Caenorhabditis elegans: one gene and its partner. The protein of the gene in region 2 interacts with the protein of the main gene of each other region in a pairwise test. Each region holds a gene or a part of one and is shown on either strand. Other genes may lie near its edges. The genes, in order: nlp-25 and nhr-171.

The links.
Region 1: the proteins of nhr-171 (region 2) and nlp-25 interact in a two-hybrid assay, tested with the Caenorhabditis elegans proteins (one large-scale study listed by BioGRID).

What each region holds. Positions count from the first base shown.
Region 1 is NC_003283.11:19,604,154-19,609,183, reverse strand, and holds nlp-25 (Neuropeptide-Like Protein), read right to left. Parts: upstream 3,005-5,030; 5' UTR 1,674-3,004; coding exon 1,523-1,673; intron 951-1,522; coding exon 838-950; 3' UTR 765-837; downstream 1-764. Other genes in the region: kcnl-1 (Calmodulin-binding domain-containing protein), read right to left, coding at 3,296-3,935, 4,621-4,769, 4,822-4,963, 5,014-5,030.
Region 2 is NC_003283.11:7,510,082-7,514,463, forward strand, and holds nhr-171 (Nuclear receptor domain-containing protein), read left to right. Parts: upstream 1-1,683; 5' UTR 1,684-1,759; coding exon 1,760-1,852; intron 1,853-2,055; coding exon 2,056-2,166; intron 2,167-2,279; coding exon 2,280-2,630; intron 2,631-2,851; coding exon 2,852-2,956; intron 2,957-3,000; coding exon 3,001-3,253; intron 3,254-3,355; coding exon 3,356-3,603; 3' UTR 3,604-3,645; downstream 3,646-4,382. Other genes in the region: nhr-172 (Nuclear Hormone Receptor family), read left to right, coding at 1-32, 274-521.

The DNA of each region.
Region 1 (5,030 bases), about 12 Mb from region 2:
AGTAGTTTTTAATAGTAAAACAAATATTCAAAATGGTATCTTAGTCAAAAAAAAAACTGAAAATCTCAAAAACTGAGCGATTTATGGACTTCGAAAATTTTGAAATTTTTTGAATTTTTTTTTAATTTTAGAAATTTCGCGTAATTTGAAAAATATGGAAATTTGCCTAAATATGCTCAAATATATACAAATTTTGGGCCAAAAAATTCACAAAAAGCAACGAAACAAAGCCATTTCTGACTGGTCAGAATCGCTGAGACAAAGCTGCTTTTATACCCGCCGCCGAGTGATGTCACCATACAGTTTTTCTTCTCGAAAATCCAATAGACTATCAATCAAATGGGTACACCAAATAGGAAACTGATATGATAAAGACGCGCGGGCAAAGACTGCCTATTCTGATTTGTGCGCGCCGTCTTACACTAACTAATTTGAACCGCCGCTTTCATCTTTTGTCCGCGGTTTTTTTCGAGACTTTTCAACTAAACACTTTAAAATGTACGGCAGTTTGTTCAAAATTTTGCGCTGATCATTTCTGCAGTGAAAATTTTTTCGATATCCCTTACCGTTAAGGAGCTACGCGCGCTCAAAGTTTTAATGCCAAAATAGTGTGGGAGGGGGAGAGACGCAGGGTGCGTGCCTCTCTACACTCTCCCCCTCCACCACACTCTCTCACCCCTCACAGTTTTGAACCGTCGTATCTCCGCGGAAAGCAGAGATATTGAAATTTTTTCAACTGAAAAAATTTTTCAAATTGTCTGCTCTATAAGATGAAGTTATTTATTTTTTTAATTTCAAAAAAAAAAACAATTTTATACAGAAAACATGTAGTTAAAATTATTTTCCAATCGCCTCAGACACTTCCTCAGCTACCAAGACACCTTCTGCAACTTCTGTTCCAATTCTAGCTGCATTCTGCACATTATAGGCTTGCTGTGCTCCAAAACCACCTGAAAATATAAAATTTGGGTTTCTAGGCCACCAACTTCAAACAACAATAACTTTGCTTAAAATTGATATTTTTCAATTTTCGAAAAATTATATTCATCTATGGAAAGTTGGCCGCATTTTTAGCTAATTTAATTTTTTTATGGCCTAGAAAACATGAAACTTGGGTTTCTAGGCCACTAACTTCAAATGGTTATAACTTCGGGAAAAAGTGAAGTTTTTCAATTACAGGAACACTATACTTATCTCTGAAAAGTTATGCTCATTTTTGCATAATTTAAGTTTTGATGGCCTAGAAAATTCAAACTTTGTGTTTCTAGGCCACCAACTTAAACCGGCGATATTTTGGCTCAAAACAGGGTTTTTTTTCTCAAAATTCAGATACATAACATTCATCTATGAACAATTATGCGCATTTTTATCTTACTTAACTTTTGATGGCCTAGAAAATCCAGAATTTGGGTTTCTATGCCACAAACTTCAAACGGCCATAACTTGGCTCAAACTCAATATTTCTGGGAATTTACAAAATGCACCATATTCCACATTCAATTTTACACGTTTTTTAGTTTACCTCCATATCCGCCACCATATCCTCCACCTCTGCCATAACCCCCATACGGGTTACCATATCCACCTCCATTATTCCATCCACCACCCCATTGGCACTGTGCCAAGTGTAAGAAGCACACTAATAGCAGGAGAAGCGCAATTAGTGATTGCATATTGAAAAAAAAATCTGGGAAAAGAAGATATCGATAAAATTTGGTTGAAAAATATCTCGAAAAGTGTAGAAAAATAATTGAAGTTTATAAGAAAATCAACGCATTTTATACTATACAATTTTCAAGGTGACGTCATTTTTATCAATATGCCGAATCTGTTTCGATGATCGGCGATGATCATTAAAACAAGACAATTCTGGTCCAAAATTTTACACTTTACCCCGAAAAACTGGAGAAATTCGGTGAATTCTACACTTTTTTTTTGGTCGGAAAACGTTGTTATAATCACAAAGGCTTGATCAAATTAACATTTTGACCTGACAAAAACATTTGTCCCCTAAAATTGTCTAAATATTTGAATTCTTTTTGTGAAAAGTTTTCTTAATGAACGCAAAATGTTGCGCTAAACATTTTTCTTTTACGAATTTTTTCGATATCTCTGACCGTTAAGAAGTTATGCGCGTTCGAAGTTTTGAAGCGAGACAGTGTGGGTGGCGGAGAGACGCAGGGTGTGTGCCTCTCTGCGCTCTCCCTCTCCACCATACTCTCTCACCCTCCAAACTTTGAACCTTCATATCTCCGCGGAAAATGAAGATATCGAGAAACTATAAAAGACAAAAATGATTGTTATGTGATGTTCTTTCAGAATTTTGCATCAAAATTTTGAAAAATTGAAAAAAAGTCTGAAAATTTTATTCAATTTGAAATATTTCAAATAAATGCTGCCCCTCTGTACGCAAAATGTTGTGCTGAACATTGCTCCAGTTGGAAATTTTTCAGTATCTCTAACCGTTAAAAAGTTATGCGCGCTCAAAGTTTTGAGGTGAGAGAGTGTGGAGGGGGGTAAGACGCAGGGTGCGCGAGCCTTTCTGCGCTCTCCCCCTCCACCATACTCTCTCACCCTCCAAACTTTGAACCTTCATATCTCCGCGGAAAATGAAGATATCGAGGAACTATAAAAGACAAAAATGATTGTTATGTGATGATCTTTCAGAATTTTGTATCAAAATTTTGAACAATTGACAAGAAAATCTAAAAAGTTTCTTCAATTTTATAATTTTCAAATAAATGCTGCCTCTCTGTACGCAAAATGTTGTGCTGAACATTGCTCTAGTTGGAAATTTTTCAGTATCTCTAACCGTTAAGAAGTTACGCGTGGCCGAAGTTTTGAGGCGAGACAGTGTGGAAGGGGAGAGACGCAGGGTGTGTGCCTCTCTGCGCTCTCCCTCTGCCCCACACTCTCTCCCCCTCCAAACTTTGAAGCGTCCTAACTCCGCGGAAAATGAAGATATCGAAAATTTTTCAACTAACAAACTGGTTCAAATTTTCAGTAGAACACGATTTTTCTAATATCGAATCCTGAAAACTGGAAAATTGTGTAATTCAGAAGCAAAATATTAGCTTTATTCAATATAAAAAATCGGGGGAAAAACGACAAAGTTGGTCAAAAAAATTTTAAAAAGTTTCGAATCACATTTTGATATTGCAAACGGAAGGAGGCAACACCGGAGTAGGACAAGGAGATCAAAAATGGCAAAAAAATGGGACAAAACGGGGGAGCGAACACAGAATTAATCACAGGTGAAAAAATTAAAATAATGATAAAATACAAAAATATAGGTTTAAACCTCTTCGAAATTTGAAATCAGCGGTGTGGTTACTGTAGCGTAGATCCCGCCGGTCGGGCAGTTGGACAATTGATCTACCGTACACTGTGGGAGACTACCGTTCCCAGAGGATGCTGAAGTGGCAGTTGATGACGTGGATCCGACGCTAATACGTGGCAGACCATCTGATGACGTAGTAGTCGTGGTGGTGACCTGGAGGGGCTCCCGGTGTGACTGGCTCGCGTGGAGCATTGGCGACTGCGTGGGCGGCAGGGGAATCGTCGGGATCACTGTAGGCAGTACTGTGCCCAGCTGAGTTGAGGTAGAGAAGTACGCGTCGTTGGATGATGAAGTCGGTGGAGCACAACACGGCGGTCGGGTGTTCAGAGTCATTTGGAGCTCCATGATCTTCTGAGTGAGCACGTCGATCTGGGAGATGAAGTGGTCCTGGGTACGGTGCATCTCCCAGAGGGTCTCGTGCATGTCGCTGTGCAGTTTTCCGACGTCTAGCAGAGAATTTCCTTTTTCTTGGAGCTTTCGCTGGTCCCACTTGATTCGACGGAACTCGTTGATAGAGTGGAGGAAGCGGCGTTGATGGTGGCGCAGTCGCAAGTCGTCACCCTTGTGCAGAGCTTTTTTGTACTTGTGGATGAACCTGAAATAGGAAAATTGAGAAAAATTTAAATAGACCATAGAATTTGGAGCATTTCATCAGTTGGAAATTTTTTGATAGCTCAATTCCCCGCAGAGATACAGTGGTTTGAACTTTGAGCGGTGAGAGAGCGTATAGGAGGGGGAGAGCGCAGAGAGGGGTGGCGTCTGCGTCTCTCGCCCCTCCACAATGTCTCAACGCAAAACTTTAAATGGTTACATCTCATTTACGGTAAGATATATCAAAAATTGTTCAACTGAAGAAATGATCAGCATAAAATGTGGAGTAGGAAAAACTTGACATATAAAAATTCAAAGTTTGCAAGTGTTGTTTTTCGAAGGGAGTAAAGTTTTTTTTATTATTTTCATGCAGAAATCAAATAGAGCTTAAAAATCTGCATCATTTATGTTTTGGAAATTTTTTGGTATCTCTAACCGCTGTCGAGATAAACGCGTTCAAAGTTTCGGCGCCCGAGAGAGCGTGGTGGAGGGGGAGAGTGCAGAGAGCGGTGGCGTCTGCGTCTCTCCCTCTCCACACTATTTCGCCGGCTGTAACTTTAAACGCGTGCAACTCCTCGGCGGATGGAGATATCAAAAAATTTTCAACTGATGAAATGCTCAGCATTAAATTTTGCGTTGATTGAATTTGGATTTCACAAATTTTGCCACTTTACAAGTATTCTGCTCACCATGTCTCCTGAAGCACGCTAGCTGCGGCATTCTTCCGTTGATTGGTAAGCTTCGAGTCGGCCATAAAATTGTTCACGTGCTTCTCGGCTCGTGAGAGCTCCAATTTTCGCGAAATAATTGCAATTAGAGCCGACGAGACACCGGCTCCCTGGAATTGAAAAATTTTGCACTTTTTTTGGCCCAAACTCTAGAAAGCCTACCACAATTCCAGTAGTAATAGATAAACACCGTCCACAATAAGTGTTCGGGACGATATCTCCGTAGCCGATAGACATGAATGTGACCATTATGAACCACATCGAGTTGAGGTAGTAGTGCTCCACTTCCAGTTGGCCGTCGTATCTAGAAATTTCCAAAATTTTCAGCTTAATCTCGGCTTCAAGGGGACTTACCGCTCGCATTGGGTGAA
Region 2 (4,382 bases):
TTTGCTGAATCTAATATTCTTTTTGAGGATAGGTAAGTTGTTATTTTTATTTTAAATTCTTTATCTTTTCTTTAAAAAAACGATACGATTTCATGTCTGTTTCTTAATGCTTGTAGCCTGTGACCTGACTCTTTGAACTTGGCCAATCAAATCTCCTCATTTAGACGATGCTTGACTTTCTTCGCCCATAGTTTCCGTGTTAGATCTTAGTGGTGAAACATTCAAATATTAAATGCGGCAAAGTTAAAAATCAAATGGTGTCCTTTTTTGCAGACAACAACCTATCCGAATCCGCAAAGATCTCCTTGGCTTCTCATCAAAACTTCTTCACCAACGCACTTTTTGAGTATTGCCAATTGAAATATGAACGTCGTGCTCCATCTCGATTTGCAGATCTCTTATCTTTATGTCAAATTATTCAAAAAACTTCTTCCGAAATGAAATACATTGGAATTATGTTACAAACTTTTGTCCCCGGGTTTCGCGCTAAAACTCTTGTTTCCGATGCGTATATGATATAAAACATGTTAACATTAATGATGAATTGTTTATATTCTAAAAATAGCTTGCATATGTGTTGGATAGGAACGTGAACCTTTACTAGTTATCGACGTGAGCAAAGGGTCACTGTGAACTCTTCTTGCATTTTGAATTATTCCACACTTCTCCGGTTTAACTAATAAACCTTCTTATTATTCTCTATCGTCGTCACGACACAACATTGGCGATCAGGATCATTGAGAGCTCACTGCACGAGCGCACACCAACAAAAACTGGTACAAGGGGGCGATCCTCATATTTCATGTCAGTGGCTTGCATCTTTGAGGCTTCTTACGGACCACACGAGTGCGACCGTTCCTCCATCCGGATCTTGCCAGTTCATCTATACGGTACCTCAGTTGTTCACACTTGATGTTCCTCCAACCTTCTCCTAAGACTATAAGGTGCCTGAAACCTTTTTGGCAAACTCATCTCAATCTCTTTTGCCAATCCTTTGCACATGGTACCTCAGTTGTTCACACTTGCTGTTCCTCCAACCTTCTCCACACAGGTGCAACGCGTCCAATTCCGGTCGGAACACGTAGGCGGCTTCGCTCTTCCGAGAATTGAGGATCCCGATTCCTTCTTCTTTTTCTCAACTTCCCTGAAGTCGCTCCTGTCCACCTTGACTCCATCTGCCGAGCGCACACCATGTGCCTCTCCCCTTCTCTGAACCAACTTATCCATAAAGTACGGTGGGATGCAGTGAGCTCTCAATGATCCTGATCGCCAATGTTGTGTACTGAGGCCGAACAAGGAGAGAAGACGAGTAGTTTATTACATTACTAAACTAAGGAATCGTCTCTTCGTCAAAACCAAAGCCGACAGGTCGTGCGAGGATCAGCTCCCATTACTGATCATGCCGCCACTCGCAACAGAGGTCGATATACCGCCTCTGGAAGACGTCGCACTGCTCCGAGTCCAGGCAGTTTTGGTGGTTTTTGTCGTACAAGAGGGGAGGTGTTGGATAGGAACGTGAACCTTTACTAGTTATCGACGTGAGCAAAGGGTCACTGTGAACTCTTCTTGTATTTTGAATTATTCCACACTTCTCCGGTTTAACTAATAAACATTCTTATTATTCTCTATCGTCGTCACGACACAACAATATGTTTCTTTTCCCTCATCACAGAATTATGTACCAAAAAATGGGTTAATCCCACAAAGGTCTATCAATATCAATAGGTCTAAAGCACTGTACTGTGAAACAAAAACTACAATGTCTTTTAATATCTATTCGACGTCACAGGCATCAGTACAAGTGTCAGATGTTTATCGTTTTATAATGCTGCATTTTACCCAGCGACGGATTGTAAGTTGAGATAATCTCAATGGGAATACCTTCAAAGGTTGGCCTTTATTTTGAAAGTCCAAGTCGAGTGGTTTTTTTGAAATTCAATATCGTCTTGAACGTTTAATTTGATAAAACAACTGATTTTGATTCAATTCGAATTGACTGTTTTTTTTTCATTTAATCAAACGATTTTTTTCATTTCAATTTATAATTATTTTTAGGACAATATTTATCATTATATGCAAACACCAGCTACAATCACGCGAGATTCGGATGACTTTGAGAAAGTATGTACTGTATGCCGACGCCCAGCGTTCACCAGATATTATGGGGTAAGTATTTTCTAATTTTCTAATTTTCCGTTCACACAAGTTTTTGACTTTAAATTGTGTAAATTCAATGCAAGATTTTATTTTGATTTCGGTACTCAATATTTCTAATTCAGGCAGTCTCCTGTGAAGCATGTAAAATGTTTTTTCGCCGGATGATTATTGAAAAACTATCATACGATTGCAAGAAAATCAATAATTGCTATGAAACTTCAAAGGGGACTCGATTCAAGTGCAGGTCATGCCGGTTCAAACGATGCCTGCAAATGGGGATGAAGCTTCCCCCGTCGAACTACACAACGTTGGAGCTCAAAGATAACAAAATTGATGAGCTAGCTAATTTATTGACTGATTTGAAATTACGAGACGAAAAACGTTGTGATCGCTTTATGACATTTTACACTACGACGGATCCAAGTCTTCACGATATTTTGAGCAAGAATACAATAGTTGTTCATGAGCAGAACGTGAGTTAAAAAAGATATTTTGCAAATCTTTTGTGATCATTTTTTTGTTTTTTTGTAAAAAAAAAATTAAGAAAAATACATTATGGTTATTTATACAATTTCAAATTTCTACAAAAATAGGGATTCAGTTTGTTTGAAATTTTTATTTTAATCTTATTTATATTTAAGAATACGAAATTTAAAAAAGTACACAACTAAAAATTCCAATTTTTGATTATCAGGATCATACAACTACAACCATCGAGTGGTCGTTTCTTGCAGCTTATAACATAATTGAATATTTTACATCGTTTCATTTTATTGATAAACTCAATAATGATGATAAGGTTTTAAAACAACTTCAGTTAATCCCAATTATAAAACTTTGCAGATGAAACTATTCCAAGCCAACTCATTCAGATCGAATATATTTTGTGGCGGAATGCGCGGATATAAAGAAAAACGAGACAAAATGGTAACGCCAGGTGGTCAAGAAATACTTCCCGAAATTCTGGTCAAGTTATTGAATACATCTCCACAGTTGCTGCGTAGAGTGTGTTGTCAAGTGATTGCAAGGTTGATTGAGCTAGAAATCACGAATGAGGAGTTTGTTCTGCTCAATCTGATATTCTTTTTCAATACTGGTAATTTTTTAATTTATAGCAAGTCCTCTCAACCTTTGTGATATTAATTAAGCTGCAATTAGGTCACATCTTACTCAATTACATTAAACCTACAATTTTCAGTAGACAGCATGTCTGACTCGGCAAAAAGTACACTTGGCTCCTGGCAAAAACTGTACACAAATGCGCTATTTCAATATTGCCAATTGACTTACAAGCATCGTGCTCCATCTCGTCTGGTTGATCTCTTATCATTATATCAAATCGTTCAAAAAAATACATCAGAAATTCAGTACATTGGCATCATGACTCAAGCTCTCCTACCTGATTTTCGGGTCAAGAAACTTGTCTCAGATACTTATAGGATATGAATTTTTGTTTACTTTTTTGGAATAAATACATCAAATGTTAAATTGCACGCGGTTCATGTTTCAGCAAAGTAATCCTACAGTACTCCGCCGTATTTCTACAGTACTCTTGCAGAAATCAGTTATTTACCACAGTATAGGAATAGGTGTATGTGGACGATTGCAGACCTCGATCAATGTCGGTTGCCCGTATACAAAAAATCTTGAAAAAGTTGTCAGTGAAAAGGTTGTAAATGTAGATTTTTATTTCAAAGGTATAAATACTCAAAAATATTATAAATTTCAATTTGAAATACCCTCAGGTATTCAATTGTTCTAACAGGAAGTATTTTAGGAAATCTAGTTAGAGAATTTGCCTCACCACGTGTTTTCATTTTATAGGTCAGCAACACGGAGCACAAAAAATGTGCAGGGAGTTCTGGTCCAACGGTGCGGAAAAAGTAGTTACCTAAACCTGATTTCTGTAATTTTTTATGACTTTTGGATTTCAATTTTTAAATTTAACGAAACTCATAAGAGTCTTTCTTTGTCGTTTTCTTCTCAATTGTTCACAGTTCAATTTTTCGTCATAATTTTCTATAACTCAGTTTGTTTTTTACTTATTAACTCCCTGAATTTCCTTCAGATTTCACGTAGGATACTTTTTTTCAGTGACATAGTCCGGAAACTCAATTATTACGAGCTCAATATCAATTGAAACGTTGCTCTTTTGACCGCCCTTATTTTCGAGAGTCTGGGAAATTCCAGAAATAATTTTCTGGCGGGCGGTGTTTTGCTGGCGT